4 linked regions of the Caenorhabditis elegans genome follow. The protein of the gene in region 2 purifies or fractionates together with the protein of the main gene of each other region. This does not show direct contact. Each region holds a gene or a part of one and is shown on either strand. Other genes may lie near its edges.

Region 1 (7,910 bases), on a different chromosome or scaffold from region 2:
GAACGTAACTGATAAGACGATTTTCTGTAGAATCCTGAATTGGATCAGGAAGTGGGAAATCGTTTCCAATTTTTGTCGAGAAACCAGTCACAATCTGGAGGCTAGACTGAACGCGAACGCTCATGGTGCACATGTTAGGGTATCCGGAAGGAGGATTGGACTTTACTTTAGCATACCACCATCCAGCAGGAAGATCATCGTCTCCAATAACGTTTGGTCTATGATCGGCATCGTATCTATGTTTTTGGCAAGCAAATGCTCTTGGCTCTGCACAAGTATCAGTTGTCCAGACTTTGTTAGCATCGCCCGATCTTCCATTGAAGTATACACATTGACGTGTTGGATCGTCACTTGGTTCACCATCGGCCCAGTATGTGATTGGTTGATTGAGAAGATCCGGGTTGATTCCTGTTCCACGATCCCAATAGAATTGTCCATCATTGTTTTTGAAGAGTCCGGTCCAGAATTGAGTGTTTGCAGCTACTGATTTCAAGAAGCCATTCTTGTCGTCAGTGAGATCATCCACGAGGAATCCACCAGCTGAGGCACAGAAAGCCTTAGCCTGTGGCATCGGAAGAATGTTTTCTACAGTTGCCATAAACTTGATACAGTATTGTCCAATTGGCTCCCAGCCTTCGTCACAAGCCTTTCTGATTTCGTACACGCTTTGACCGGTAAAGTCATCGTAGAAAAGTTCCAAAGCTTCTGCCATAACACCAGCACCAGTATACACTTGGATAGTTGTTCCATAACCAAATGTTTGGATTTGAATTGTTTGAGTGTATGCGTCAACAGGGAAGTATGTAATAAGTCCATCGTCGTGTCTACAATCATCCAATGCGTTGAATGTGACTTGTCCGTTAGAGAACTGAAGTGGAATGAGTCTGACAGCATTAGAAATTTCATTTGCTTGCAGGCTATAAGTAGTTCCGGTAGATCCACTGACAATTCCGAGAAGAGTATAATAGTTTTCGACGGTGGCGTTGCAAACAAATCCTTCCGGTTGTAAACGTGGATTTGAAGTCAAGAAACCGTAAAGAACCAGTTCCATTGTTCTAGACATATCATAGAAAAGACCAAGCGAACGAGTATCAGTATCATCTTCTGGAGTGGTTTGGAAGATTTCTACAAAAGATCCCGGTGCCATTTGTCTGGAGAAAATGGCATAATTCAAAGCATCCCAAAGTTTGACAGTACATCCAGTATCGGCTGGAACTGAAGAAGCAAGAGTGCGAAGAGCAGTGGTGATTGCAGTGAGGTTATCAGCTGGTGATTCAGCAATTGGTCCTCCCCATGTAGAGTTGAAACCGACCAGAACAAAGTTTCTAATCCATCCACGATTTTGCATGAGAACGTCGCGGAGAATTTCTTGGAAGTTGATATTGAGCATGGAAAGTGAAGCAATAGAATTCTGAGTGATTTCAACGGCAAACACCATGTCAACTCCATAACGGATGAATTCAGGATTTGGTCCTGTTTCAATACATCTTGCCATCTCACAGCTCTCACCAGCGTAACCAGGTGGGCAGACGCAATGATCTCCGCTAGCTGTTCCTCCATTGTAACAAATAATGTTCTGACAGTACGTTCCTGTGAACTCCGGAGTACAGAAGCAAGTGGTGTTCGATGGGTTCATTACTCCTCCATTTTGGCATTGATGATCTGGTGGCGGGGTAGGATGAACGGCAGCACAGAACATAGTTCCGGCACGTTGAAGAGCCATGTCATTATTATCACGAGCAAAGAAATTGAAGTAAAGAACTTCTTCTGGAACACGGCAAGTGAATGGTGGGAAGTAGAAGTTGAATTCACAGGCATCTCTGTACATTCCACTTGATCCGTAAACCTCGGTTTGAACTCCGTCACGAATAGCATAAATCTGAAGATTGGCATGCACACGGTCCATTGAGAGGAACTGAGGGTAGTTGGTAACATGGAAAACTGGAGATGAATCAAATCCAAGAACTGGCTGACGTAGAACTCCTGCTGCCGAAGTAAGAGTAGAAGCGAATGACCAGAAAATATCATAGTCGGGGCTGTATTGAGTTTGTCCGCCAAAGTTGAACTTCTTCTGATAAACCTTAAACGTGCAAGCTGCTTCTGGTTCAAGTGATCTGATAGAGAAGAACCATTGACCAGCAACTGGCGAGTTATACGTCCAAACATAGTTCACACCATCAGAAAAGGCGGTGTTGAAAGTTGGATACTGTCCTGTTGGGCTTGTCACAACTAGAGTCAAATTTGTTCCAGTGGCTACAATTGTAACGTAGTCAACGCTAAGATCAAAGGCAGCTGACTTGTACAGATTCTGGCTGGAGCAGTGTGAGTAATCTCCGGAAAGAACAAGTTGGGATCGGAACAAGGTGTTAAGCATGTGTCGGTAGAAGAACTATAAAAGTTAATTGATATGGGAGATATAAAGTGAAGTGACTTACGGTCGAAATAGTGCTTCTGTCGCTGAAATAGAAAGTGTTACCACTTGAACGAGCAGCCATGTCCACCATATCTCTATATGCAGAGTTATCTGGAGATGAGTTACATCCATCGGCTGGAGATGGTTGAACGTAAATGAAGTAGATCTGAAATTTAAATAGAGTCAACATTATTTGCTTTCATGTTATTTACCGGTGCTCTCCAATAAGATTCCAGATGGAACACAGTTTCCTTCTCAGCACTATCATTTGGAGTGGCGTCCGTAATCACATAGATCGGGGATTTGTTTGTTGGATAGAGAGAAAGTGCAGATCTGTAATGAATTAGCATTTTTAAACATTATTACATACCAGTGAACTTACGCAACAGCAGACATGACAACATCATCACATCCTCCTTCGCTTGGAGCGGAATGGATAGCTTTTGTAAGATCGACCATTGCAGCGTCCCATGAATCATATTGTCTGTTCACCAAGAGCTCTGAAATAATACACTTTCATGTCAAATATGTTTTAGATCAAAACTCACTTCCGTTATCAAAAAGAACAACAATGAACTTTGATAGATATCCAGGTTCACTAGCGAGAAGATCAACAATACTTTGAACAGACTCAGTTGCTTGTTCAATAACTGCAGAGAGCTGGCTTCTTGATCGGATGACAAGGGTGAGAGTTGGGTTTTCAGCGTTGAAGTCAAAGCCTGACATGTCGGTACACAAGACTGCAAAGTTATTATGTTTTAACAGATAATTTTTACTAGTGCATACTATTCTGGCAATGGAAGCCACTGAATCCTTCTGGGCATTGACAACGGTCACTGGTTGGAGTCGGCAAGAAACCTTAATAGTTATTATAAAAAATATATAATTTCAAGGATGAATTGTACCTCCGTTAGCACAGAGCATTTGCGAGCAAGTACTTCCAGAGTAAAGTCCAAAGCAATAACAATATGCAACTCCATTAGAGTCAGTAAGCAACTGCCCTCCGTTTTGACAAGAAGTTATCGGTGCTGCAGGTGTTGTCGGGACAGCGGGGGTAGTAGTTGTTACTGGTGGTACTGAAAAGGTACTTTTTCTTAAAAGTCTTATATAAACTTCTTATATACACTACAAAGAAACTCACAGACGCATTGGTAAGGAACAATACGACGGAACTTGTAGCCAGAGTTAGTCACACCCTCCACCTGAAAACAAAAATTTGAATGTTTAGCACCTTTGGTTCAATCGAACTTGAATGAGATTGTGTCCAGCATCGTTATTGCTGGTTTTTCTGCAAGTGTATCTCTCCAAGATGTATGGATAAGTACAGTTGAAACGGGTTGTCATTGGAATGTATCTTGAGATGTGGTTCTCGGCACCGGTAAATCCAATTGCTTGGATTTGACCAGGAAAGTCCAAACCTTGAGCATGAATTGCAACAACCGACTCAGTATCGAAATATGTAAACTTGAGATTTGGATAGTCACTACGCTCGGCTTGATCTCCTGAAGTGAATCCACCGGAAACATGAATGCTACTGCGGGATGACATCATCATTGTACAAAACTGCTCGCTGGTGTCGGCTCGTGGTCCAAGCATATATTGTCCGGGAGGCAGATGCAAATAATTTGCAGTGAACATTGTTGGAAGTTGAATGGATTCGTCTGGGAATATGAGATCTCCATTTTCAGCTTGAAGATAGAATGTTGGGTTCAATGCTGACGCCGTCTCGACTTCAATTTTGATATTCCGCATCGTCTCGTCAACGACGACGATGTATGATTCAGAGCAATTAGCCAGATTGTAAGCATCAATTGCAATGTCATCAAATCCGTCGTTGTTCGGAATGTACGGGTTGCGAGCAGAACAGAGGGCTGAAAAATTTCTGCGTCATGGAACATTTTAGAAATATAAATCTTAAAACTCACGATATTGGCAAGTTTCACCGGTGTACCCTGGCTTGTTGCATCCTCGAGTAGCCATTCCAGCCAAAACGTGTGGTTCAGCAATGGATCTTTTGGAAATATGATGGGTGTCCAACTGAAATTAAAAATTCGAATCGCACCTGTTTGCTAGACCTTACAAAAATAACCCTTTCTTCCATAGTCCTGTACTTTTGCTCTCTGACTGGCTCGAAAAACTGCTTCTGCGATGCCGGACTCCATGATCTCAAAACCGCGCGTATTCTGTCCTTGTGACTGAGCTCCTGCTCAGTCGCCAGGCAGATCACGGCCAGGGCCGCAATCAAAACCCAGTTCCTCATTTCTAAATAAAAAATATTAGTTTTTTTGGAAGCAAACTTGAAGGGGTATTATCAACAGCTTAAAATGAAAAAGAAGCACTGGAGTAATGCGACTAAAAGTACTATCAAGAAAACCTTATAGCAATCAAAGTCGTTAAATAAGAAAATGGGTTGGGCACGCTCGTAACATCGTGGCAACTTCTTATCTTTCAATGCTATGCATAAGGGCATAATAAAATTTTCCCCCGGGCTCTCCTGATTTTTCATGTTCTTGTTAACAATAAAACGCCTTACATTTTTATGAGTCAAAATTCAAAACATAAAATTTGCTCGGACAATAAAAGAACCTCGACATTTAGAATTCACAATCGAATTACCAGAGTTACCAAAAAACAAAAAGTCAATAGAATTGAAAATGATGATACATGAAATAAAGCATAGAAAAAATGGGAAATCTCAAACAGACATGGTTTTCATACGGGTAGGCACGGTTATGCTTGAAGATGGGAAAGAAGACAAAACAACCATGCTGGCAATTGTCAATGGCTAGAGATCCAACTTGCAGACCAGGCTTGGATGCCACCAGTCGCTATGATAAAAATAAAGTAATTTTGAAAAGGGAAACAGTTCAGATATTGTATATCAAAATGAGCTATTCTAGTTTAGTGGCGGATTCGTTTGATGAGCAAGTAAGCGTCTCTTGGGCTAATACGATAGTAGTCCTCGATAATTCCGTCATTGGTGAAGCCATGCTTCTCATAGAATTGCACCGCATTTTTGTTGTTGACCTGGAAAATTACTTTTTTTCAGATCCACTTTTTTCTGGATACCTGCACATGTAAGTACATGGTCTTAATTTCTTCCATCTTATTGCACAATTTTAATGCGTAGTCGATGAGAATTGTACCAATACCGATTCTGAAATAGCACATTTTATTACCTCGTAAAACGCCCTTGGTATAATAATTAACGCTATTAAAACCGTCATTTTCAGGTAGAACTGTACCAAAAAAACGTCATTGATAAGGTAAATTTGATCTGACTCAAAACTCACTGTCGGTAGGCGGCAAGGGTTCCAAGTGTCATGAGATACAACGACTTCTCGTCTGAAATATCGTCAATGCGACAGCACACGGCGCCCACGACGACATCGTTGTAGTAGGCAAGACGTCCAAGTTCTCCGCAATATCGAGCTTCCACATAGAACTTGTCGTTGTAGGCAATTGGGAAGACATCTTCATTGAGCTTTTTCAGTTGCTGAAATTATAGTAAATTGAAAAATCGAGTTTCGAGTTTTATGAAGTTCGTGTATTTTTTGTTGAGGTTTGAAAAACAAATAGGATTTCAGAAATCGCGTTTTACTGATGAAAATGGGAAGGCTAAATTAAATTTAAAAGGTGGAGGTTAAAATCATCTGTTTGGTTCAAGAGTGAGTGAAGACCTTCAGCAAACTTTGAGTGTGCTTCAGCAAACTTTGAGTTCAACTACTTGTCTGACATGCTCGGTAGGCTACAACGTATTTTAACAGCTCATTCTATGCCAATTTACACAATTTTCACAGGTACAGAATACAGGGCAATGTTGAAAGCTTCAAAAATGAACAGCAAAGTCGGCCTAGGTTTGCTTTTTTAGCCATTCACAGAATATATATAAATCGGAACAGAATTTTATTGAGTGGGCTCACATTCACTGCGTGCAAGAGTAATATTCAATTTTTTAAGACGCAAAAATTAAGGCTACATCATATTCACATTGATCGAGAAAATATGGGTTTCATTTAATATTATGAATTCTAGTTCGTTTCATAACATACATTTCCTTCAACAAATTAATAAATTCTCACCAAAATGTTGTGCGGCGTAATTTCTCCCAAATGAACTGTCCCATGACCGGCAATTGTTTTCAGTGCTTTTCCATTCACGTCAAATTTATTAATCAATGGCACCAGTTGATCAACTTGATCCTGCTTCTCTGGCTCAACTGAATCGGAAACTTTTTCGGGTGTGCTCACTGCTTCGGTATTTTCTGCATCGCTTTTTGTTGGGCTATTCTTTTCATCGTTACTCTCGGATGCTCTTTTCTGCTGCTGTTGCTTCTTGGCTCTTTTCTTGGCACTTTTACTCATCGTGTGGTCTGACTCGTTGTTGGTCTGCTGATCGTTCATTTTGCGGTGGCTGAAAAAAAAGTTTTGACGTTTGAAGAATAATATAGAAAAAACTGAAGGAATTGAAGAAGAGACAAGAAATCACTTACATGACACCGAAATAAATAAGAGGCTAGCAGAAACAGAAAGAACAATGAGCATTGGTTAGTAAAACACGGAGGATAACCGCGCGCAAATTGTGTTTATTCAAAACAATCGCCCTCTGTTTAGCGTTGCGGAGCGTCGTTTGTACATACGAAACTAATGTGACTAGCCGGGAAAGAGAGGAGACGAGAAGAGAACACATGTGTTAAGAGGCAGGTGACGACGGCCACCTCGTGGTGGCTTTTGTTTAAAATAAAATCGGAAGTATAAAAAATAGTTTATTAACACAAGAATTCAAAAAAAAATTAACACGAAAACTTAAATCCCTTACAAGTTCAATTAAAATATATATTCATTTATTTATGTTTGATGTTTAATAACGTCATAGAAATTTTTTTATTGCAAGACATATGTATGAGTCAGGTTGATTCGTCTAACAAAAAACGAATCACCTGGAAAGAATGATGGGCGCGGTCGAACACGAAAGATTTCAAATTAAATTTTATTGGTGTTGAACTTCATTAAGGAAGTTTGTCGTGAAAAGTACATATGAAAAAGATAAACTTTTGGATTTTACTTTCAACTTAATAAGTTGGAAAATGTAAAATTATTTGAAATTTTAATTGAAGAAGTTTAAACCATTTTTTCATTGAGTTTCAATGACAAAGTAAGGTGTTTTTCTTTGAATTTTATTATAAGTCTGCAAATAAAAATTTTGAATTATAAAGTCATAATTCAGTAGCTTATACATTTACGAGATAAGAAGATCAATCTTCAAATAGAAAATTGAATGTGCAAAAAGCGTATAAAACCCACAAAGCTCTGCCTCACCTCAATGCACTGCCAACACTCGCTCTCTTCGCACATTGGCAGCTGCTTTTCGAGGTGAAAAGGTAAAAGGGAGAGTGAGAAATTTTTTAAAAAATAGTAATAAGTTTTAACTTCAGATTTTTGTTTTGTTTTAAATTTTAAAATGAGACACGAAAGTTGAAAATGATTTCGAATTTATA
Region 2 (6,095 bases):
AAACTCCCCACGTTTTTATTTAAAATTATATTTTTTCAAAAATGAGGGGAAATATACACAAGTACCAAAAAAAAACTCACACTAAGCTCATCATCGTCAATCGTAAATTCGTACGTCATTTTTTTCGACGTGGCAGCAGCAGTTGCGGTGGCGGCAGCCATTTCTGGCGATTTCTGAACAAGAAACGATGAGGGAAAGATGTCGTAAATTGGTAGAATCTCATAAAATCCGAAATTAGAGCGATTACAAGAGCGAGATAAAAAACATAAACGACGAGGCGAAAAAAGACAATGAAATTCAATAGAAAACCGGGAGAAATAGCGTGGGAGAGGCCGGAGACGCAGAGAAAATGTGGAGGAAAAGTGCGCGAAATAATCCGGCTGCTGCTGCTGTTTTGCCCCGGTTTCCTCCTCTATTGATTGAGAAATGTGCGAGAGAGTGTGGAATGCCGGAGAGACGCAGACTGTTCGATGGAGCGCAGCATGGCTAATCAAGTGGTGAGGGACGAGAGTCATGGGAAATTGGAAAAAAAAAGACAATTTTTTTTTGTTTTGTGCATTTTACAATAGAAATATGGGCCTTTGGGAGTTTATGACTGAAAAAATTGAAAAAAAGAACGATTTATTTCTATCTTTGCGACAAACTGCGGAAAAATTGGATTTTAAAAAATAATTTAAAAATTAAATATTTCCAAATTTGAATTTTGCTCATTTTTCATGTTAAATATTGCAAATTGCATGCTTTTATTCATTTTCTAGCCGCACAAAAATTCAGAGAACTCACACAATGCTCCTCTTCGTCAGTTGTAAATTTGAATAATCGTTTTTTCGACGTTGCAGTCATTTTGGAAAGTTTTTGCGAAGAAAATAAAATTAAATCTAACTTTCATTGCAAAAAAACAATTAGAGTTACGTGGAAAGTTGATTTTTTACTATTTCTCGTGAAAAAAAGTGTAACGAGTGGATTTTTCGTAATTTCTTGCAATTTTTCAATTAGAATTTAAATTTTCGAATAATTGTTTTGAAAAACTTAATGGAAAACAGGCATTTTGGCTGGAAAATAGACAAAAACGAAGAGAAAATGAAAAAAAATAATTCAAATAAATTTTGTGCGTCAAATAAGGTGCCCGGTCCGCAGCCACAGTGTTTGCACCGAACAGGAACTACAGTACCCTAAAATAGTATTTTCCTCGATTTCAGTTTTTGAAACTTGCTTTAAATGAACGAGTGGATATAAAATAGAAAATAAAGCTTTATTAAAAGAAAATAAGTGAAAATCTGATTAAGAATTTTCAAAAAAAAATCTTTTCCGAAGAATAAATCGAATTCCTTCACTATTTTTTCGAGATAAGAAGTTTTAAGAGAAAATGCCCTTTGGAACTAAGTAATGATTAAAAAGTATTAGGGGACGCTAAGCACGCTAAAACTGATGCTTCATAATAATAAACTATGAATTATCAACTTTATAGCGGTGACCTCTACCATTACTGCCGAAATTGCGCGTAAAATATGGCGCTTCGACTCAGTGTCTGCGAATCCATTTTTCGGAATTTAGAAAATAGAAATATTCAAAACCAAGGTTTATTGATATGAAATTTGCACAAAAATTCAAAATGTATCATAAAGAAAGAGTATTTTAAACCAAAAATTAAATAAATTAGTGAGAAACATGGGCGGAATGAACATGAACTCCTCCCTCGATCTCAATGAGATGGACTCCGTGGGATGGAGTACGCTCGACAAAGTCAGCGAAGTGGGCTCCGTTGACGAAGATCTGAAAAATATAATAGTTTAAAGATTAAGTTTCAGTAGGTGAACAGGGCTCGAAATCCAATGCTCATCAGAGATGGGAGTACGAAAAATCAAACTTTTCCACGTGGTGTCGAAGTGTCCCATTTTGGTGTGATCTTCAAAAAATGCGGCCGAAGAGGCGCTGACTTCTCAACTGATTTCGCATGATTAAGAGTGTGCTGATGTCACGAAAAATTCCCTCATTTTTTGTAGATCAAACCGCAACGAGACAGTCTGGCACCACGTGCTTTGCACGAACACAGTCCGCCTTAACATTCTTAAGCCCAGAATCCAACTAACCGAGATAATTCCACCGTTGGACACAAACTCCAGAGTGTAGATCTTGTTCTGCTGGAATGGATTGGCGTGACGATCCTCGGATTGCCAACCTCCTCCGCTGGTCGAGTTGTTCACAACAGCTCCCTCATCGAATCTAGCGTTGAAGTGAAGAACAATGTCGTCTGGAGTGCGAAGATTGATGTGGAAACGAGAATCGGCGGATGTTGGGAGAAGAACGAGACGGAGGCGAGCACCGTTGGAGAATCCTTGCACTGGGATGTTCACTGGGGTTTGTGGGTTGAAGAATTCGTTGCGGAAGCTGATTCCGATTCCTCCTCCGATCATGGTTGATTCTGAAATCAACTGTGTGAGTTGGGAAGGGAAACATGTTAGGAGCAATACTAAGACCACTATTCGTATAAAATGTACATCTATGAGAATTGTAAGCTGATTCTTTGGCTCTAAATCGCATGTTTTATCACTAGGTGATGTAAAATGTCTAAAGATCGAAAAGCCGAGTAGTTTGAAAGTTGATAAGAGCGTATGAAAAACCCTCGGCAAAGTAAACAATTCTCGGTGTCTACTGGGGGAAAATGTTCAACGAAAAAAAAATAGAAATTGGGCAATAAATGTAAACAATCCTCATCTATTTATACATCACAGAATGGGCGGATTCTTGCCTATGAGTCATCAAATACGATTCTAGAGAATTCCTTACTACATGAATCATGGAAAAAAAGGCTTGAGTACATTGTACACCTGCCATCGTCTCTTATAAGCAGTGTTTCTTATCAACTTATTGATGAGTTGGCATATGCTCCGCCTCGAACTATTTCGATGATAAGTTGCTTGTTTACTGAACTGAAAAAGGCTTTTCGATGAAAAATTCAGCCCGGCATAAAGAATGTCACGAGTTAGTTTGGAAATTAAGATGTGTGCTGATAAACGTCAAGAGAGGAAGTAGTGATAAAATTCTAGAGTTTTAACAAATTTGCAAAATCTCTGAATTGTTTTATTTTAGGAGTTTTTCAACCTAAATTCGTATTTTAGTTATTTAATTGTTCCTCGTTCCACACGTCACCATTTACAACCCTTATTATCGAAGTGCCAAGTTACAGGGAGAACTTGGTACATACCAGCTCACCAAGAAAAACCGATCAATAATGTAATAAAACCCGCTGACATTGAAGACAGAAGATACCGCAATTTTCTTTAATAGCTTGGGTTTTTATTAGCGCTAAACAATATATAACGTGGCAGTTTTTTTAATGCTGACTTATAAATAGTACTTTTCCTTTCAATGAATCTTCAGAGAATTTCAATGTGGCATTTTCTTAAAATCTTCCTCCGTTAAGCCATATTGCAATTGTATGTGGTAAACTTTCCAATACTATAAAAATTGAACTTTTAAAAACTTCTGAAACTTGAGTTTACAGTAACTTAAAGCTTAAAGGTGGAGTACCGAAATCTGAGACTTTGCTTTTTAGGCTCAAAACTACCGCATATCGTAATGAGACATCTTGAAAATTTCTCAACACGTTATGGCAGTTCAAAAATCTGGAAAAAGGTCCACTTTCAGCTAAAATCAAATTGTTTCCAACTTCTCGGTGTCGCTGCGTCTGGAAGTTAATTTGTATTTAATTACCACTTTCTAATAAATAATGTGATCGTTTAATGCGCATTTATTCGTTGGTTTAAGTACATTTTCGGCCAGTGGGGCACAAATAAAAGCTATGTTTTTGTGCCCCAATGACCGAAAATGCACTTTAATCAAACAATAAACTCCTAATAAAAAACCACAATATTTATCAAAGAATGAAAATTTTATTTTAGCTGAAAATGGGTCTGTTTTTCCAGAACTTTGAACCGCCATAATTTTTTTTTGCGAAGTTTTGAAAACGTCTCATTACGAAATTCGGTAGTTTTGGGCTATTTTGGGTCTAAAAACAAAGTCTCTGATTTCGGTACTCCACCTTTAAGATTTTCAAGTATACCCAGGAGCCACGTGTCCGTAAAAGTTCAATGATGGCATTTCCGGCTAGTAGTGATGTAATTTAGTCATGAAGCTGATTTTTTCTCCTCAATAATTTTGATGATTAATTATTGATAAGGAAAATGTCAAACAATTTGACGATTACCAGAAAGTTATTTTTCTACAATTCATGAATATCGGTTAAATTTGAGTAATCATTTTCTTCGTATGGAGCATGGGAAATTATTTAGACCTTTGCAAATTCAATTTTTTTTAAAAGCATTGTTAATTACCATCGTATTCCAATTTGATTCTAGACTACTATCAAACTTATTGAAGTGGTAATAATTTTTTCCAAGAATTTTGAACAACGTTTCTACTAGGGGTGTGCGTCAAATTTACCAAATTTGCCATTTGCCGATCTTGGTAATCGTTAGAATTTGCCGCACACAACAAAAATTGGACAATACAATTTTGACCAAAACTATTGATTTTGTTCCAAAAAAACTAGTAATATAACATAAAATTTAGATTTTTCCGAGTTTGTTAAGCAAGGCAAATTTTGAGATTTGCCGCACACCCCTGGGTTCTACTGGGTAAAAATGTAAATTCATTTATAAAACTAATACTATGGCTGAAAATTTTCTGAGTAATTATTCATAAGGACAATGTCAAAAACTTTTTCTAATACTTTTATTTTCATAAAAAGAAACACAAATCGGTTAAAATTGAGTAATCCAAGTCTTTTTGGCCTTCTTCTTCATTTGAATTTCATAATTTGTGATGTACACATGGAAGTTGGAATTTTCATCAGAACTTTCCAGAACGATCGGAGCCTCCACCATTGGATCCAAATAGTTTTCATCAAAAACTTTGGCAACTTCGAGAGGATTTGGAATATCAACATGGAAGCTACCTCTTTGCAATTTCGGGAAGGTGGATATGGTCTGGAAAATGACTACGCTGATGTGAGAGCGTATCACTGTGAAACTTACATTTTTAATCCGAGTAACATCCTGTTTATCGATAGAAACATTTCTCGAGTAAACTAAAATAGTTTGCAGCTTTTCCGCCGAAACCCTTTTCAAAACACTCCCCGTTTGGCCGATGGTGAATCCAGTGAGCCGAACTGTCTTCACATTGACCTCATACACTATTTCCAAATTGAAAACCTTCTCCATCGCATCAAAGAACAATTCCTTTTGCTCATCCTGAATCAACTCTGGAAGATCAATTCTGAGCAGATCGAGTTCAAGCTTCGGGGTTTTCAGCAAAACTGCCACGTTAGCAAGAGTGGCATTCAAATTGCACCCTGGTGGTGTGGTTGCTTCTCCACTTTCCGAATCCTTGCCTAGTTCCTGATCGAATTTCGAGAACTTAGTGCTACATGAGTCAGGTTTCACATTTAGCGAGTCCATGTCAATTATCCACTGATCACCGCGCTGATGAATTCTGATCTCCTTAATCCGCGTTTTGTCGTCACCGGTAGGATCAGAGGTAGAGCTGAAACGAATATTTTTTAGTTGTAGGAGTATTTAAGAATTTTAAAAAATACCAATAGGCAGTAGGGCTCAAATTTCTTGCTCACTTGTTTGTTACGGAGATGTGGTGGAAGGTACTTTGGAGCACTCCCTTCAGTTTTTTTAATTCCAATTTTTGGACCTTTTGCTGAAAAATTACCATTTTTGTTGATAACACCACTTAAATCACACCAACCTTCCCAATAACACTCATGTTTCTTGATCTCCGGCTCTGGCTGCGAACTCGCCGTGGCACCTTCGTCTCGACATCTCCAATTGGTGTCCAGTTCCGCGTTTGACTGCTTTTCCACGGGCATGACAGATTTGTATTATATGGAAATTCCGAAATGATAAAATATTGAATAGAAATCGATTTTCAAAAAAATCGTTCACGTGGTTCAGGTTTGAATTATTCTGAATTCTGAATGCATTTCGAATATCAAAGTCAAAAATGTACCGTTTTGTGAAATTATTTTTTGACAAGCATGCAAATTAATAAATACTAGCAGTTTTATTACCATAAAAAGAAAATAC
Region 3 (10,821 bases), on a different chromosome or scaffold from region 2:
AAATTGGGTTTCATAGTGCGCACTGTGGTAATTTTAGTGCCAGTGTAATATTGACAACAGATCAACAAAAAAACTTAGTTAGCCAAATATCAGTTAAAAACACTACAATTCTTGTTTAATTTCAAGTTGTTTTCTTTGGGTTAAAGGTAGTCTAAAGGTGGCCTAAAGGTGGGTTTATTGTTTCAAACTGTAGTATTCCATCATATTAGTAAGGAAATTGCGAAAAAAAACGAAGTACGAGAAATTTTGACCGATGCCTTCTCCCGATCTTCCTTTAGCAATTTTCGAATAATTTTTTGTTTAATTTAAAAAAATCCACGGTTATACAGCTGAAATTTGAATTAATTGAAAATTGAAAACTGTGGCAACCATTAAACGCGCTCAATACCAATATGTATTAGTTGTTGCTAAAACGGAAGACCGACAAAATATGATATGTGATAGGCCACCTTTAATGGAGTGGCAATGCTTTTGTTTTGAATATTATTTTGTGTCGAGAAATAATTTTATTGTAAAGATCGCTCAACAATTAAGATTTAGAATCTTCAAAGAAAAGGAGAAAATTAAAAAAAAAGAACAAACAAAAAGTTATGCGCGAAAAGAGCACATATGTACATGAAAGAAATGAGAAAAATTATCTAAAGCTGGCCTAATGTCTAGTCAGAGCGATATACACAGCAGCGAAAAGTGCAAGAATTGAGAAGGTGATGGAAGATGAGCCCTTTGTGGTTGTGGCTGGTGATTGTGTGGTTACAATTCCTGGGCCATTGTTTGGACCAACGCAGTTATTAGTGCTACAACAGCATCCGGAGAGTCCGCCGTCAATAGAAGCACACGAGTTGGTCAAGTCTAGAATTGATTAATTTTGAATTTCGAAGAATAAATAATGGCCAGCTATGAAATATATTGGCTATACATTAAAAAAAAAAACTTACTCAAGGAGGTACAGACAGTAACTGGATCACAGGTGTAAAGTGTGAGTGTCTGGTTTCCACCATTGTATGGTGCAGTGTAAGAAATTGAGGCGCACGATCCAGCGCAAGCACTGTAAGAGTCAGCTGTGACTGGTCCTCCATTGAGATAGATGGAAGAACGGCACAAAATCATTGGAATTCCAGTTGGCTGAAATGGTATGATACGAATAACTTTGATTATTTTTAAGCAATGAACTTACAACTGGAATAGTGTTTGTGGTGTTTACGGCAGCTTCCTTGACGTTGCAGTTGGTTCCGGTTGTGCAGCAGTAACCGGTGATATCCTTGTCTGTGGAGATGGTCTTACGCTCGTTGTTTAATCCAAGGGACTTGCAAATTGTCTTTGGAACGCAATGATATGACTTGTAAAGAACATTATTGACAGTTGTCTCAAGAGATCCGCAATATCCGTCACATGATACGGTTCCTCCAACGTTGACATTTCCGTCACTGGTGTAGACTCCGACGTAGCACTTGGCTGGTCCTGGGTAAGTGTTGGTGAGTGGGTTGAGGCATCCATCGGTGTCGCAGCAACATCCGGAAACTCCTGGCTCAACGGTTTGGCAGGAGTTGGACATGTTGAGCTGTTGGCAGACAGTTGTTGGGTCGCATGTCAACAAAGTTGCGGTGTGATTCTGGTTCTGGATGGTGGTAGAGATGGTGATAGATGCACAGTCTCCGTAACATCCTTGAAGAGTCAATGGAGCACCGTATGTTTGGTTGTTGACAAGGAGTCCCTGGTAGCAAGCAGTTGGGAAATCTGGAAGAACTGCTGGTCCTGGTTTCACATTTGGATCCTTGAGGTTGCAGTTGTCCGCGTTGTTACAGCAGCAGGCAGTGACTTCTCTGTCACTCCAAAGTGGACGACAAGTATCCTTAATCTCAAGAGATTTGCAGATAGTATCAGCAACACAGTGATAAGTAGTGACATTGAAACCTCCGACGATTCCAGTCAATGAAGCGCATTGTCCGGAACAATAGGTCTCAGCTCCGAGGCTCAACGAATTGTAGGTAGATTGTAGACCAACGTAGCACTTGAGTGGGTTAGGAGTACGTGGTGGAGAAACAGTTGGGTCGAGGCAAGCATCGGTAGAACAGCAGCATCCGGAAAGTCCATTCTCAATGGTAGTACAATTGTTGTTCATTCCAAGTTGATAGCATGTGCTGACTGGATCGCAAGTGTAAATTGTAGCGTTGGTGAGAGCTCCATTGTACATGGTTGAGAGAGTAGCAGAAGCGCATTCTCCCTTACATGCTTGCCAACCAGCGATGGAAATTGGCATGTTATTGACGTAAAGACCAGAGAAGCAAGCGATTGGATAATCACGGAAGTTCGTAACTGGCATTGAAGTATTGATCTTTCCACCATATCCAGCCAAATCGACGTTGCAGTTGTTGTAGTTGTCGCAGCAGCATCCCGTAACTGTGGTATCATATGGAAGTGGTTTGCACTCGTCGTACATCTCGAGTTGTCTGCAGAATTGGGTTGGCACGCATCCGAAGATAGCAACTGGGTCTTGGTTGAGGGTAGCTTGAATTGAGGCGCACTTTCCTGGGCAGAAGATTTCAGATCCAGTGGCCTTTCCTTGAGCGTAGATTCCAGCGAAGCACTTGCGGAATCCAGATGGTACAGTCTTGTTCTTTGGTGGATCAAGGCAGAGATCAGTGTTACAGCAGCATCCGGAGACTCCTGGGATTGGGGAGGCACACCAGTTGTTCATGTTGAGAGATTGGCAAACAGTGCTTGGGTCGCATCCGTAAAGAGTTGCTGTGGTGGCAACTCCGTTGAGTGTAGTGTTCAATGAGATGGACGCACATTGTCCCTGGCAAGCTCCGAGAATGACTGGAGTAGATGGAACACCGTTGACATAAAGTCCAGTGTAGCAAGCAATAGCATAGTCGACTGAAGTTGGTGGTGGTGGTGGAGTGATGGTGGTATTGGCAATGTTACAGTTGTTGGCATTGTTACAGCAGCATCCAGTGACTTGGTTGTCATTCCAAACTGGTTTGCAGTTGTCGTAGAGTTCAAGGGAGTTACAGATCGAGTTTGGCATGCAGTGATAGGTGTTGACTTGGAATCCACCGACAACTCCTGAGAGGGATGAGCATTGTCCGTTACATGGAATTTGAGCTCCAACGTTAACTGCGCTTCCATTAACAATGTAGTTCGAGCTGATACCAGCATAGCACATAAGTTGGTTTCCTGGGTTACGAGCTGGATAGACTGTTGGATCAATACAGGCATTGGTGTTACAGCAGCATCCGGTAATTCCGTTCTCAAGACTGGAGCACTTGTTCAGAATGTTCAAATTACGGCAAACGCGGGATGGATCGCAGGTGTAAAGAGCAGCGGTTCCGGCTTGTCCATTGAATTGAGATGTGATTGATACTGAGACACACTCTCCTTGGCAAACCTGCCATCCAGCTGAGCTGTAAGCGGTTCCGTTGATGAAAAGTCCGGAGTAGCAAGATATTGGAGCATCATTGAGTGGAGTGAGTGGGATGGTGGTGTTGATCACATTGGCAAGATGGGTCTGTTGAACGTTGCAGTTATCAGCATTGTCACAGCAGCAAGCTCGGAATTCTGGGTAGTATGGCTCCATGCGGGCGCAGGAATCGTAGAGCTCGAGGGAACGGCATAGAGAGTGTGGAACACAAGCGAAGAGGGTCACGTTGTCATTGGCAATGCGAGCGCTAACAGAAGCGCACTTTCCGTCGCAGAGTTGTTCAGCTCCGGTTTGAAGTGATGGCACGCTGGTAGAGTAAAGTCCAACGTAGCACTTGAGTGGTGGAGTTGGAACGGTCTTTCCTCTGTTCGGGTCGAGGCAAGCATCACTGTCGCAGCAGCAAGCGGTTACTCCAGCTTCTGGGGAAGTACAGTTGTTATGAACTTTAAGTTGGTAGCAGACAGACGATGGATCACAAGTGTAGAAGGAAGCCGTGTGCAAAGTTCCGTTGATCGTAGCATTGATGCTGACAGAGGCACATTCACCGAAGCAAACGGAGAATTCCATTGGAGTTTGGTTGAATCCGTCAACGATAAGACCAGCTGGGCAGGTGATTGGATATTCAACACGTGGACGTCTTCTTCCGGGATTGTTGATTGGAGGTCTTGGAACAACTTGATTCAAGTTGCAGTTAGGTCCATTGGTACAACAACATCCAGTGATATCTCTATCATACCAGAGTGTGCGGCAGCTGTCATAGACGTACAAGCTGTTACAGACGTATGCTGGGACACAAGCGTAAACAGTGACGTTAGCGTTGGCAAGTGTTGAAGTAACAGATGCGCAGTTTCCTTCGCAGTATTGTTCTCCTCCGGCATTGAAGATGGTATTTCCCTTCAAATCATAGGAGTAAGCTCCGACGTAACAGAGGTTTCCATCTCCATATGGTTTACGTGGTGGGGTGGATGTTGGATCGAGGCAAGCATCGCTGTCACAGCAGCAAGTCTCGAATCCTTGTTCTTGTTGGTGGCATCTGTTTGTTGAGTTCATCATTCTGCAGATGTAAGATGGGTCACACGTGTAAAGAGAAGCAGTGGTAGCAACTCCGTTGTATGTGGTGTTCAAGTTGACAGCAACACAATCTCCCTTGCAAGCAGTCCATCCTCCGTCAGAGATTTGGCTTCCTCCAATGAAAATTCCAGAATAGCAAGCGCGTGGCATCTCATTTGGTGCAAGTGGTGGAATGGTGACGTTGAATCCAGACGTAGCAACGTTGCAGTTGTCGAAGACATCACAGCAGTACGCGTTGACGAATCTGTCCAAGTAGAAAGTGTTGTTCGAGTTGTCAAGTCCAAGGGAACGGCACATAGATCTTGGAGCGCAATGGAAGGCGGTGACATAGTCGGATCCGACAACAGCGGAAACGGTGGCACAATATCCGTCGCAAAGAACTTCAGCTCCTGCGATGTTTCCCTTGTGCTGGGTGCTGATACCGACGTAGCATTTGAGAGCTTTTCCTGGAACACGGTTGTAGGTTGGATCAATACACTCATTGGAGTCACAGCAGCAAGCAGTGAGAGAGTTGTCAATGGTGGAGCAGTTGTTACGAAGTCCCATCGCGGCACAGGCACTGCTTGGATCGCAGGTGTAGAGAGTAGCGTAGTGAGAGTTGTTATTGACGGTTCCTCCAAGGGAAACAGACACACATTCTCCGTCGCACATGCGGTAGTAAGGCTGGCTGATGTTTTGTCCGTTGAGATGGATTCCTTCGTAGCAGACAATTCTTGGGTCACGACGAGCTGGGATGGCAGTGACGTTGACTCCAGCTGGGGCAAGACAGTTGTCAGTTTCTGAGCAGCAGCATCCAGTGACTTGTGGGTCAGCTCCTGGGATTTGTCCACAGTTTCCGTAAGATCCTCCGAATCCGAGTCCGAAGTAGCGGCACATTCCAACTGGGGCGCAGTAGTAGACAGTTGCGTTCTTTCCGTTGACAACAGAGTTCAAGGATCCGCACCATCCATCACAGAATTGGTCTCCTCCAGTGTTGTATTTGTCTTGTGGAATAGAAACTCCAGAATAGCAACGAAGTTGTGGGCGTTGAGATCCTCTGTTTGGATCAATGCAAAGATCATTGTCGCAACAGCAAGCATTGACTCCTCCAAGAACGCTTCCGCAAGAGTTGGAGATTCCGGCTTGTTGGCACATTGTGACTGGATCGCAAGTGTAGATGGTAGCATTGTGAACTTGGTTGGCGAAGGTGGTGGTGAAGCTAGCTGAAGCACACTCTCCTTGGCAGAGTCCGTAAGCAGAGTTGGTGATGGAAACTCCGTTAACCCAGATTCCTCCGTAGCAGAGAACTGGATACTTGGCGGTAGACACAGCAGAGTTATTCACACGTCCGAGAATGTATGGATTGTTAACGTTGCAGTTGTTGCTAGCAGAGCAGCAGTACACCTCAAGTTCCTCGTCTTGTGGTGGATTGTAGGTTTGTCCTTCAGTGGAAGCAAGTCCGAATCCAGCGCAGACATCGTATGGCATGCAAGTGAAGTATGAAACTTGTTGTCCGTTGGCATTGAACCTGACACGTCCACATCGTCCTTGGCAGTTCATTTCAGCTCCGAGCCAGGTTGTTCCATTGTAAAGTCCGACAGCGCATCTGAGCTGCTTGACTGGGTAGACTGGTGGAACAACAGTTGGGTCAATACATTTGTCCATGCTGTTGCAGGCACAGCCGGTGATGAGAGCGGTTGGGACTCCATTGATGTTTTGGGTGTCAAGGTTCATGCATCCGTTGTCGAGGTTCAAAGCAGTGAAGACGTTGACTGGGTCACAAACGAAGATCTCTCCCCATACATTGGCTCCATTGTAAGTGGTACGAATACGAGCAGATCCGCATTCTCCCAAGCATTGAGAGAAAGATCCTCCGTACAAGAGAGCTCCGTTGACGGAAATTCCTTGATAGCATGTCTGGTTGTTCTTGTTCCATGGAGATGGAGTTGGTGGGTTGTTCATTGGAGCGAGGCTAGTACAATCTTGCTTGTAACAGCAGCATCCTTGAATGTTGGTTCCAGCGAGATTGGTGCAGGCGATTGGATTATTTGGGTCAATATTTGGGAAGATGCTGTCGCAAAGTCCTTGTGGCATGCAAGCGTAGGCAGCAGCGTCATATCCGTTGTAGACTCCAGAAACACTGGTACATACATTTCCTGGGGAGCAAGTGACGGTGTCTCCTGATCCGAATCCTGGAGTAGTGTTGTTGGCATAGAATCCGACGTAGCAGAGGATGTTGCTGCAATTAATACATTCAATTTATCTTCACTTATCTTCTTTGATCTTCCTTCAGGGAAGTTTTTTGGTAATTGGTAAAAATGTACTATCAATCTCTTATCACACAATTGGTTAAAATATTTCCGAATTTCAATGCCGAGGAGCTAACTAGCCACGTTTTATGGTTGTGTTGCGTGCGTTATTGGCACAGTCAGATAAGAAGCGCGCCCAAATGTAAACCAATTATTCCATTATTGTTATCAGTTTGACGTTGACTGGCAAATTTACACACGTAACAGTTTGTGGTCAGGAATTGAACTAGGACAAAGTATAGTAAAAGAAAGTACAGTGAAAAAGTTCAATTTTAGACTATATCGCTGAAAAGTCATACTAAAAAAATAATATTATATAGTAAGAAGTTAGTGCGATTTCCGGAAGGAGTTTAAAAAATTTAAGGCTACACATATTTTTGATCTAAAAACGATGGATTTCATATAAACGTTAAACATTTGAATCGTACAAACTTGAAAATGTTTTAAAATTTGGAAAAAAATTGCTCAAAACCAATCGCTAAAGTTAAAAACAAATCTACGGGAGAAATTTCGACGTGTGTTTTTAGTTTCTCTAATATTCAAAATTTCGAAATATTAAAAAAAGTTTCAATTGGTCAAAAAATTAATCTGATTTTGCATCAGTTTTTCTCTTTCGCAGCTGTTATCAAAAATAGTCGTTTATCAAAAGTTACTATCAGAGACTTATGCAAACCTCAATTCCTATCAGTTGTCAAAAATAACAGTGATAACAAAACTCACTTTGGGGCATTAATAACTTCGATTGGCTTTGGAATATTTTCTTCCAAGTCGACCTTGTTACACAACTCATCCTCGCAGAAGCATGATGTCTCAAGCTCACTGCTGGAGCAATCCTGTCCTTTGTTAATGAAAGCCATAAGCTTGTTCTCTTCGCATGTCAAGAGAACAAGTCCTCCGCTTGGAGATTTGACAGTTTGTTTTCTGCACAATCCTTCGCATTCTCTCTGAAACAGTTAAAGTAAATATATAGAATGTATGTATATTAGATGGACGTACCAATTCAACAGACTTTGATGTAATAACATTTTCCGATACAATTAGATTTCCGACTAAGCAGTTTTGTTTAGCACTAGCGAAACTACAACAGCCGGCAAGTGCCAGCAGGAAAATGCCCAAGCGCATCTGAAATTTGAATGTGTTAGTGAATAGTAAGATCCTTAAAAAACACAGTAAAGCAAGGAAGGCTCTCAGAAATAAAATTTGAGAAAAAAATCAGTAGGGCTTCTTCGAGTAGAGAGAAGAAGTGAAGTGCGACCTGGCGAGATGTAAATTAAATAGAATGAGGCTCTTATAATGAACAGTCAAAATTGGTTCTTGGTCGCCAATCGGTCCTTGTTATACGGTAGTTGCCCTCTCTTGATAAGAGCACGAAGTGGGTGGAGTCTCAGAACCTTGGAGGCGAAACCTGTGAAGCAGGATACGAAATTAGTGATTTCTGCTGCAAGAGAAACAATGAGAAAAAGAAAATGAGCTTCAAAAAAGTAGTTGGAGCAGGAATTTTGGGTGTATGTGAAGCGTTGGCAAACCCAAATACTTAGTCATCCGATTTATAGCTGTAATCTAGTTTCAGCTATCTAACTGTCAATTCGTCATTTGGTTAACCAAATAAAATTTTTACTTTACTGTGGTTTGCATTATTTTTTATCAAAATCACGCTAGTTGTGAAATATTGAAAAATGGAACGAAGATAAGCCTGAAAATGAGTCACTAGCGGATTTCATTCTGGCGGTTTGGAGTGTAGTTTTTTGAGAAAAAAAAATAGATTCGGAGATGACTTATAATCTAAACTCAACATTTTAAATTGCAATATTACACATTTGAATATCCACCAACATTAATTATATCCTGCTGAAAACTCCGCGGTAAACTACACTACTCATTTTTGAATTTACTTTTTGCCTCATTTCACTCGTCTGGTTGTTATCGAAACTGATCATAAAACATGGCAGTTTGAAAACCAAATCAAAGAAATTCCAATATGTATCAATAAATCAAAATTCAGTCCTGGAATAGTCATTTTAATTAAAAACCTATAAACCTTATAATTTGAAATTTTTTTAACTGTTCAGATACTCCTTCGTAGATATTTTATATCATATCTGACACCTTTATGCTCTGGGAAAACATACACCTCAGAACTCTTTAGAAAGTTATATTAAACACACTCATATAAAAATAGAGTAAGGGTTTCAAGACCATGTCTGAGTCGAATGATAATTGAATTAAAATTTCAAGCACAAATTTGTCAAATGTACAAAACACACCTTTTGGAGCACTTTTACTTGGGCTGTCTAATAAGTATTTTTAAAAAGATGGTGCCAATATAACCAAACGCAGCAAGGAGCAAGTTTTAAATAACATAACTTTTGAAATCAAGGAAAAAAAATGTGATTTTCATATTCTATGTATTTGTGTGTGTGTGTCTTTTGTCTTTTTTTTTCTATCATATTTTTATATAAATTGTAAAAAAATTTGAATATGAAATTATTTTGGGAAACTTTTAAAGTTCTTACTAGTGAACCGTCAGAAGGTACCCATTGGACTTGCATATGAGATCTACGCCATTCGATAGCCCATGTCTTAAAACGGTTACTCGTGAATTTTTAGCTGCAAAACTCCAGAACCAAGCTCACGGCGGGCTCTCAATGATCCTAAAATAGCACTTTAACGAAGCATTGGAGGGCCAATTTTCCAAATTCACTTTGGTAGATCATATCTCCGCGGATAATTTTTTTACAGAAAAGTCATCAACTGATAAGTTGTTGATATTGTTGTAAAGAACAAGTTTGTAGTTGAAAGTTTTTTCCCAAAAATTTTTTGTTTCAGATAGAAGCGCGTGAAGTGCGGCAACTGTTGTTGTTATTGTTTTGCTGCTATTCAGTTTCTAATGCTTTTCTATATGAGCTGCCAAAGTGAATATGAAAACTTGCTTCGTTAGATCGTTAAAGTTCTTATTTACAGTGCTATTTTAGGATCTTTGAGATCCCGCCGTGAGCTTGGTTCTGGAGTTTTGCCGCTAAAAATTCACGAGCAACCGTTTTAAGACATGCACTATCGAATGGCATAAGTCTCATATGCAAGTCCGATGGGCACCTTCTGACGGTTGCCTAGTTAGAACGTTCTCAATAATTTTTGAAATTTTTTGCTCGCTTTGCTCAATATTGCAACAAAATCCCTCCTAAGGTGTTCAACTTTTTTTTAAATTTCACAAAAAGCCAACCGTTTTCAGATTTTTCTCGACTAACTCAATATTTCACTGCAACTTTTTCTTTTAATCAGAATAATATTTTAAAATTATGTCTATAACATATTTTTACCGCCCTACCTTTTAGTAAATCAAATTTTACTGTTTCACCTAATTGTATGCTTTTAAGTGTTTATATTTTGATTGTGGCTTTATTGTTTTCATGTGCTGTAATTTTGTTTCATGTGCTGTAAAAAGGTGTTGATAAATTGTAACACATTCCCAATTTTATTCCTAATAGAAAGTGCTTTTGGTCTTTCTTTAGTACGTTTCGTATTTCTTAGTGCGGTGCCCTTTGATGACAAATTGTATTTTTTTCGTAACAAATGATAGTTACAATAAAAGCACCACCTTGTTTCCAATTTTCGTAGTTTGTATTTTCACGTGATTTGTGTTGGAATCACAGTTTCAGATACGTTTTCAATTGTTTTATTCAATTTTCCACGAACCTATAAAACAGCACTCAAAACGGTGATAACTTTTTGCACGTGTAATTTTGATAATTGATGAGCGGTGGCAAGATACACTGTATCAATGTTTCATTATCAGGAGTAAAGTATTCCGGGAATGCTTGAATGCCAACTTGTAGCGACACGAATTTTCCAGCATTAGGACACGATTTTTCTCGAACTTCCCAGGATATGGAAACAAAAATTAAGTTTTAGGTTACAAATCACGCAGTAGCATCCGTTGACCAGGTTCAGAGTACATTATTTGAATGATAAACTTTTTAAAAATTAAAGAAATATAATAGTTTACTACTTTACTTTACAATACATTATGATCTTCTTTTTCGT
Region 4 (7,741 bases), on a different chromosome or scaffold from region 2:
TCCATTTAGATTGGTAACCCCAGCAACAAAGTCAGCTGGCCTAGCGGAGTTAACGAGCAAATATGAAGCTATAATTGAATATTACGACTGTTACCCTAATCAAGTAACATACTGTTTGAATTGACTGCGATCAAAATCCACTTATTAATCCATTTGTCAGATGCTTGTTGCATATCACGTGTCATTGCTTGAACATTGTCTGCAATTTTTTGAACAGCTACCTTCATAGTTGATCTAGTAGAAACAACAAAGGCAATGGATTGTCCATCGAATGAAACGTCAGGATTGTTGTTGAAAGTGGTGCACATGTCTGAAATATATAAGATCCCTATTTTAATTCAAATTTACACAGTTCATACATTGTTCGCAGAAAGTTCCAGCAGTTCCGACTGGGCAAACACACATTCCTCCTCTTGGTGTACCTCCGTTTACGCATTGAATATTTGTGCAACTAAATTGATATATGAACGTCAATCAAGTTTATGTTATTTTCACTTACTATTGTCCGTAAAAACCTGGTGGACAGATGCAAGTAGCGTTATTTGTTGGATCGGTCACTCCGCCGTTCTGACAAGAGTTTGGTGGATACGGTGTCGTTGGCGCTGAAATATGTACACGTTTCTTACTCAGTTTCCGACAAAAAAGTTAGCTATTGCGCCAAAAAAGTGATAAATACAATTTTTGAAGGCTTACTTCCAGAGCAGAAACCAGTGGTAGTTCTTTGGATGGTGAATCCCTTTCCATCGTCAGCATAGACAGTAGCATAGAATGGTTGAGACATGAAATCACAGAAGTCGGCAGCTCCAAAATACATATGGAAACCACATCCGTCTCTGTATTTTCCACTGGAGTAGTACATTGGTTTTTGGTATTTGTTGTCCACATTTACATTAGATGTAATGGAAATTTCAGAGAAAAGACGGAATGGATCGGCTACTTTGCCCTTAAGTCCTGTTAGTTGAGCAACAATGTGAGAAGATTGTCCGACGACTGGTTCCGAGTCACTAGCATCATCATTGACTCCGACGCTAGTTCCAATGAAAAGATCATATTCTGAGCGGGCTTGAACACGGTACGAGCACGGAGTATTTTGCTGCAAACAAAAACATTTCAATTCTTTCAGTTAAGCTATGTAGTGAGCAAAAAAACTGAATTATTCATTTCAATAGTACTTACCACATTTGACACAACTGTGACCAAGTGCTCACCAACAACGGGGTTTGAAATCTCATACAGTTGAGTAGTTCCACTGTCGACAATCTTCAGAAGAGTATTGGTATTTCCATTTGGATCTGTGACAGAAACTGTTAACTGTTGTCCGACAGCGAGAATCATGAGCTCAGTGGTTGAAGTGTCAACGAAGAAAACTCTCGTTGGAGTGGCGCAGCTAGCAAGATCGTCAATAAGTACCGAGTTCATTTTGTAGGCTGTTGCTTTGATCACGTATTGGAAAATCTGAACAAGCAAAATATGGTGTTGTAGGATAAATTGTAAACTAACTTGTTGCAAAGAGTCAACAGATGGTCTCAGGATAAGTCCTCCACTGTAGTAAGAAGCGTATTCGATGGCTTGGAAACCTTGGCTCATTTCATCAAATGCACAATTAGATTGAACAAAGTAGTGAGTGTATATCTGAAATTGCAACTTCTACTTATGTTAACATCAGTTATGTAGTACCGGGAACTTCATGCGAGTGTTTTGCTCAATGACGGTTTGCCATTTCTCGACATCACTAGCAGTTGCGTCAGTGAACAAATAGACTGGAGATTTTTGATAGAGAGCGACTTCGTTAAAAATAGAGCCGATCGCATCAAAAGTAGCATCCGAACATTGTCCAACAGCAGTTGAAGCTTGATTGATGGCAGCCAGGAAAGCATTTTGGTCAAATGCTGGGTAGTAGGTGTTGGTGTAAGCACCGTTTGCAAATTTAACAATGACAAATCCTTTGTATACTTCGTAGTTGTTGCCGTCGTTACTTGTTAGTTCTTTGTAGATAGCACTGGAGATCGCATTTAGGTTTTGATTCATCGAAACGGTGCTTCGAATGATAACAACCAATGTCTTGTAGTTGGTAAGATATTGTTCCCAGTTCAGTGGACAGGTAACTTGAAAGATATATTTAATATATAAATATAACTGAAACTTAACATACCATCTTGACAGTTTGTTCCATGGTATCCAGCAGCACATTCGCATAGATTACCGTCTGGATCTGGGAATCCGGCGTTCATACAGTTAACTTTTTCACATTGTTTTCCATTAAACAGCTCAGAGCAGAAGCATGTTTGGCCTTGGTTAGCAACATTGAGGAGTGTTCCATTGTTGAAACAAGTTGTCACCGGAGCTTGGGTCGTTGTTGGAGGAGCTGGTGATGTGAGAAGTTCTGAAAAAAGACTGATTGCAATTTGTAGTTAACAGTTATGAAACTAATAATTCTTGAACGCCTGAGCTCAATAAACTCATGACACTTTCAGCTTATAGAAAACTAATCATTCAAATAACAAAAGCGTTGTTGACTTACGCATGCATGAGAATCTTCCGGTTCTTCTGAAGTTAAATCCGTTGGCGTCAACTCCATCAATCTGAAAGAAAACATTAAACATTTTAATTTGAACTTCGTAGTACATGATAGAAGTAGGCATTTCCAAGTTGACATTGCCACTGTCCTGCATAGTATTCATACCCGCACTGATACCTGAAAAAATGAATGGGGAAAGTGATTTGCTTTTATAGGGGTGTTAATGTTTTCAGGAGATAAATCAAGTCTAAATGCTAATTATTTCCACAAATACAGTTCCCTACCTTCTTGTGAGAGCTGCTCTGTAGACTGGAGCCAAAGAATTGCCTTGGCGAATGGTGATAGATTGAACTTCTGCAATATAAAGATTTTGTTTTATATTTAAAAAACGAAACTAACGAGCTGGTGAATTGTCAACGTGAGCGGCCATATACATCGGAACACCGTTGATTGCAGATTCACCATATGGAGGGTCGTCTGACTGTGGAGAATACACAAATCCATCCACAGCTTTCAATCCGCTGGGGTCACCCTAAAACTGACTTCATGTGCTTTTGTATTGAAATTTATATGGAAATTACTTAAAATTGAAAACTATAAATTAAATATGCTTTATATAATGCTTTATATGTTGGAACTCTCGCAGTTTTTATAAATAAATGGCTGCTGGCACAAAATTTATAATTGCAAAATTAAAAATTGGTTGTTGGTTAATCAAAGATGGTTAATCAGAGATAAAAAACCTTTGTTTTATTTTATTTTTATAAAAACGTTTTTTTTTGCTAGGAAAACTACATTTCATAAAATAATCTGAATAATGACATTCCTTATCAATGTCTGAACTTTTGAAAACTTCCCGGTGCACTTGAAGCAAAATATAAGTTAGTATGTATGACATATACAATTCATTTGGGCAGTATGGAACATCGTTGTTTTAAATATAATTTGTTCTTAATTTTAGTAGACAATTCCAGGTTTTAAGAATTTCAGAAATTATGTAACTTTAGGTAAGGTTCTTTTGATGAATTCACTATATTATTCATTGATTTGATCTTTAATAACGACATGGTATACAGTATTTTTATAACGCGCCATTTTATTTCCAATTCCACGTTTTAATTCATTTTTAGCGCGCCCATTTTGATATGCCGAACTCGTAAAAATGTAGGGAGGCAACTCATGGTTATCAGTTTTTCATCTTGTTACGATGGCAAATGTTGAACATTTTGAATGAAAATGTGCGAAATGTAACTAGAAGGCAGACTACAAAATCTCACTTACATTAACTTCAATGATGCATTCGCTTGTTGGAACACCCTGGTTATCAATGGACAAGGTATATCCACCAGATGGAAGATCGGCGTAGACATTCAGAGAATAGCTATCGTCGGCTACGGAGTAAGATGGAGAAAATACAACTCCCTTTGCATCGGTCATATTCACATATGGAATTCCAGCAGCCGAAACATGGATTTGAATGGTTTGGGTAGGCTTGTTGCCTGTTGAATCGACAGGGATGTAAAATCTTGAAAAAAGAAAATCGTTTTGAAGCAACTAAATTAAAACTCATGCTTACGGTCCACCACAGCTTCCTTGGATAAACATAATCTCAATACTGGAAGTCTGTCCAGATGTTGGTGCAGGTTTTGGATCAGTACAGATTGGGTTTTTGCATCCATCACCAGTCCATCCATTTTCGCATTGGTTGGCAATTCCAAGAACGGCAAAAATCGCACGTTTTGCTCGAATATGGAAAGCATCAGTATTTGTTAGTTCGGGATAATAATTTGGTAGGTGATGAAATACGGAATCTGAAAAAAAAAGTTGTTTTTGTAAAATAGATTTAGTTTGAGTTACCAAGATTTGGAGCAGCTGCAACTGCTGTTACTAATAAAAATAAAGCCAGTAGGAGCCGCATCGTGTGCAGTGGCGACTCGAGCAGCAGCGGACTGAAACTGGAAGGGCTTGTCTTGCCCTATCGCATATGTAAGACCGTGAAAATTTTTTATTGTTTGATAAGCCAATTTTGCTATTTGCCCCGACGTTTTGCCGACTGCCACATTTTTGCCTTCAAGAACTAATATGGTTATCAAGTGATTGCACATGGCACCACGACGACAGGCGTGTATAACGATGGTTTTTTGATAATTCTGAATATTATTCGAATGAATAAAGATTATGAGCAAAAGTAAACGTGGGAATTTACTTCACCTTTAGATATTATTGCTCAAAGCAACATTTACAACAATGAAATGAATGAAAATATTTGGCTTAAAACATTAAGTCTGTTTGGAAATAACAACAGTGTAGTTCGGTCTACTGGCTTTACGTTTTACTTTGAATTAGACTATTATCATTGTTGGGAATGTTTACTTGTTGCTTGTGATTTTAAAAACGGTTCAGTTTTCAAGTAATCAGATCGATCTCGGAAACCCTGAAATGCAGATTTGTCATGGATATGTATCAAAACGAATGCTATGTGGTTAATATGTTGTACTAATTCGGTTAATATATAAACTTGGTTGTAATAATTCTAAACGCTCTTCGTGCATACTTAGATGATTTTTTGAGATCGTAGCATTTTAATTGACTTTTGAACAGATTGTAGTTGTTTTTTTATAAATTTCAAAAATTTTGTAGAAAGTATTAAATAGTGTAGGGCAGAGAAAGAATGTTATGAAAAAGATTGTTTTATATTTCTTTGTGTTTTATACTAAAATTTGCATAATCACAGTGTTCCTCGATATGTTTGTGCAATTATGATAGTTCGCTTTTGATCGCATACCGACTCGTTGGAAATATGTAGTTTCCTGATATGATTCAATTTCTTATCAGACCTATCAATTTAAAATTGCCAACAAATTAATTTACGTAAGGAGTACACACCCAAAATGGAACTCAAGTCAAATTTTGTAGCAATGTTTTGAAACAATTTTGTAAAAAAATGCTTATTAGAAACATTGTCTAAAAATATTTAAAAATTATTTGGCTAAAACTAAATATTTTCCGCTCAGGCCGACTAACATCAACCGCACCATGGAAAGAATCAAATATCTTTGTTTATAAGATATAATTTGTGTACCTTCAACTACATATGAACACACCCATGTTCGAAAATGATTACATTACTGCTGGCACTAAATATCTGCAAATGCAATTTTTCAATTATTTCTGAATCAGTAATAGTGATTTCATCAGGTCAAGTGAGTGTCGTCTGTGAAACTATTGAGATGAGTAAAAGAAAATTTAAATCTTACTATGATAACGAGGATTATGTTCCGGAACTCAATGAACTTAACTTAACTGAACGTTAATGAACTGTTTTGAAGATTGCACTTAAACTGTACTGAATACAGTTGCTCGTTTCTTTAAACTAATCTTCCGATTAAAATAGTTTTGAACTCTTGAATAACATACCGTATTTCCTCTATTAGTCTTGCATGCGAAAATAATTTTCAATCGTCACATAGGGGTGCAAGACTAATAGAGGAAATACGGTAATAGCGTAACAAGCATAACAAATGATTGAAAAATTGGATTTTTGGCTAAAACTACTCCTGTAGAGCCGAAAGTATCGAATATCGTACTAAAACTGGTCAAATCATTTTGAAATGTTTATATTAACAGACAAAAACGACAAAGAATGAGTTTGTACCAACCTTTGTAAAAAGAAAAGCACAGTCCCCCACAGTGTTTAAACATAAATGGTTTAGAAATGTGAACAAAATCATTTCCAATTGTTTTTTCCACATTTTTAAAATATTTTCAGTCAAAAACGTGTTTGCGTCGCTTTTCGACTACAAAAAAACAATGTTTTAAACGCTTTTGAGAACTTTTACTATAATATTTTCTAATTTTAACACCATTGTAGTAAGCTTCGATAACTTCTCTACTGACGCTACTTCACCTTAGTTGAGCCCAAAAGTACCTATGCTTCCAATAAAGCATAGCAATGCTGATATCATAGTGATTATCAGTTTTTGATTTTCTGAACAACTTTGCAAAGCTTGTTGAGACCACACATAATATTTTTACACATTTACAATGGGCATCAAGTTGTTTCATTAAATTCGCATCGTTATCACACTTACACCGCAACGGAAGCTGATATGGATCTGTAGCAAGTTCAACTAACAAATTATCATCTTAAGTGTCACTTTTCAAAATTTCCGTAGCTAGTGTAATCCCATCGAATCAGCTGTTCGATCTTTCAATTAAAGCTCGTTGCTATCCTTTCCCTTTTACGCACCCGTCAACCTCTCATTTTCTCGACGTAAGACCAAAAAAAAATGATGGGAGGAGTTACTGACGATGAGTAAAGAGAACTTGCCTTTTCGCAAGTTGACGGCCTCCAGTGACGGCGCCCGCATTTGACGTTACCCCTTGTTTGCAAAGTCTACGGAATCCTTCCGTGTCTTAAGAAGTACTTCCATACGGTTTCACACATCTGTTTTTGTGATTTATCCCATTGGGTTCTTAATCACTGATCATCTCCCTCAATCGTCTTCATGTGGAACACCGCCAACCAGCATGCTTATCCGTAGAAACGTGTTTCTTTCTATCTTATTTCTCCTAATAATTGTTATTGATAGCAGGTGTGAAGAAGAAGAGAATCAAAAAGGTATACATAATTAACAATTGGCCACGAATAAAAATTTTTTAAAAATTATCTTAGTTAGTTCATTTATCTTTTTCCTTACAAAAGTCTTACTTCCTTCCTCGTTTCCTACATCCATTTACCTACTTGTGTGTTCTTACCACTTTCTGATATTCTTTTTGAAGGTTATTTTTCTGTTCAACAGGTCTAGCACAGAAAAACGTGTGATAGATATGAAGAAGAAGTCAAAGATGAGACAAGTGTGAACATCTTTATCCGGATGTCTTCTTTTTATTCCTTTTGGTGGCTAATGGCTAGAGTAATGTGTTGAATGACAGATATGATGTTTATGAGTGAAAATACATGCAAGAGAAAATGCTAATTTTGCTTTTTACAGGATTCTCGCCACCACCGGATTGCGACTGTCCTAGCGTGATTCGTCCTGTTTGCGGGACCGACAACGTTACTTACAACAACTTGTGCTTTTTGCGATGTGTTCAACGCACAAACGAAGGTACTCTTTGTTTTTTAGATATGACCCCTATGTTACGATTAATGACTTATTTTCACAGATCTTCTTTTCTTTTACAACGGCACCTGCTGCGACAAAAAGGAGTGTGAGAAAG

What was found.
Region 1: the proteins of lec-6 (region 2) and irg-7 purify together in Caenorhabditis elegans (affinity purification with mass spectrometry, with the first as the bait; one study listed by BioGRID). This does not show direct contact.
Region 3: the proteins of lec-6 (region 2) and bcf-1 purify together in Caenorhabditis elegans (affinity purification with mass spectrometry, with the first as the bait; one large-scale study listed by BioGRID). This does not show direct contact.
Region 4: the proteins of lec-6 (region 2) and hrg-11.3 purify together in Caenorhabditis elegans (affinity purification with mass spectrometry, with the first as the bait; one study listed by BioGRID). This does not show direct contact.

What each region holds. Positions count from the first base shown.
Region 1 is NC_003284.9:3,238,952-3,246,861, forward strand, and holds the start of irg-7 (Protein irg-7), read right to left. Parts: upstream 4,686-7,910; 5' UTR 4,674-4,685; coding exon 4,494-4,673; intron 4,451-4,493; coding exon 4,339-4,450; intron 4,285-4,338; coding exon 3,662-4,284; intron 3,616-3,661; coding exon 3,555-3,615; intron 3,490-3,554; coding exon 3,319-3,489; intron 3,272-3,318; coding exon 3,200-3,271; intron 3,154-3,199; coding exon 2,962-3,153; intron 2,914-2,961; coding exon 2,796-2,913; intron 2,747-2,795; coding exon 2,626-2,746; intron 2,580-2,625; coding exon 2,436-2,579; intron 2,390-2,435; coding exon 1-2,389. Other genes in the region: F40F4.7 (N-terminal methionine N(alpha)-acetyltransferase NatE), read right to left, coding at 5,315-5,440, 5,483-5,570, 5,707-5,909, 6,496-6,816.
Region 2 is NC_003281.10:597,945-604,039, forward strand, and holds lec-6 (Galectin), read right to left. Parts: upstream 2,423-6,095; 5' UTR 2,415-2,422; coding exon 2,091-2,414; intron 1,774-2,090; coding exon 1,657-1,773; 3' UTR 1,566-1,656; downstream 1-1,565. Other genes in the region: Y55B1AR.2 (Flocculation protein FLO11), read right to left, coding at 81-173, 784-843.
Region 3 is NC_003283.11:6,400,882-6,411,702, forward strand, and holds bcf-1 (bacterial colonization factor), read right to left. Parts: upstream 7,903-10,821; coding exon 7,777-7,902; intron 7,725-7,776; coding exon 7,501-7,724; intron 6,711-7,500; coding exon 1,175-6,710; intron 1,123-1,174; coding exon 936-1,122; intron 850-935; coding exon 650-849; 3' UTR 498-649; downstream 1-497.
Region 4 is NC_003284.9:11,495,414-11,503,154, forward strand, and holds the start of hrg-11.3 (C-type LECtin), read right to left. Parts: upstream 4,587-7,741; 5' UTR 4,437-4,586; coding exon 4,376-4,436; intron 4,330-4,375; coding exon 4,095-4,329; intron 4,044-4,094; coding exon 3,800-4,043; intron 3,051-3,799; coding exon 2,918-3,050; intron 2,873-2,917; coding exon 2,803-2,872; intron 2,696-2,802; coding exon 2,626-2,695; intron 2,583-2,625; coding exon 2,522-2,582; intron 2,384-2,521; coding exon 2,153-2,383; intron 2,106-2,152; coding exon 1,678-2,105; intron 1,633-1,677; coding exon 1,501-1,632; intron 1,456-1,500; coding exon 1,177-1,455; intron 1,094-1,176; coding exon 694-1,093; intron 603-693; coding exon 500-602; intron 452-499; coding exon 360-451; intron 311-359; coding exon 113-310; intron 69-112; coding exon 1-68. Other genes in the region: F29G6.1 (Kazal-like domain-containing protein), read left to right, coding at 7,049-7,139, 7,513-7,629, 7,688-7,741.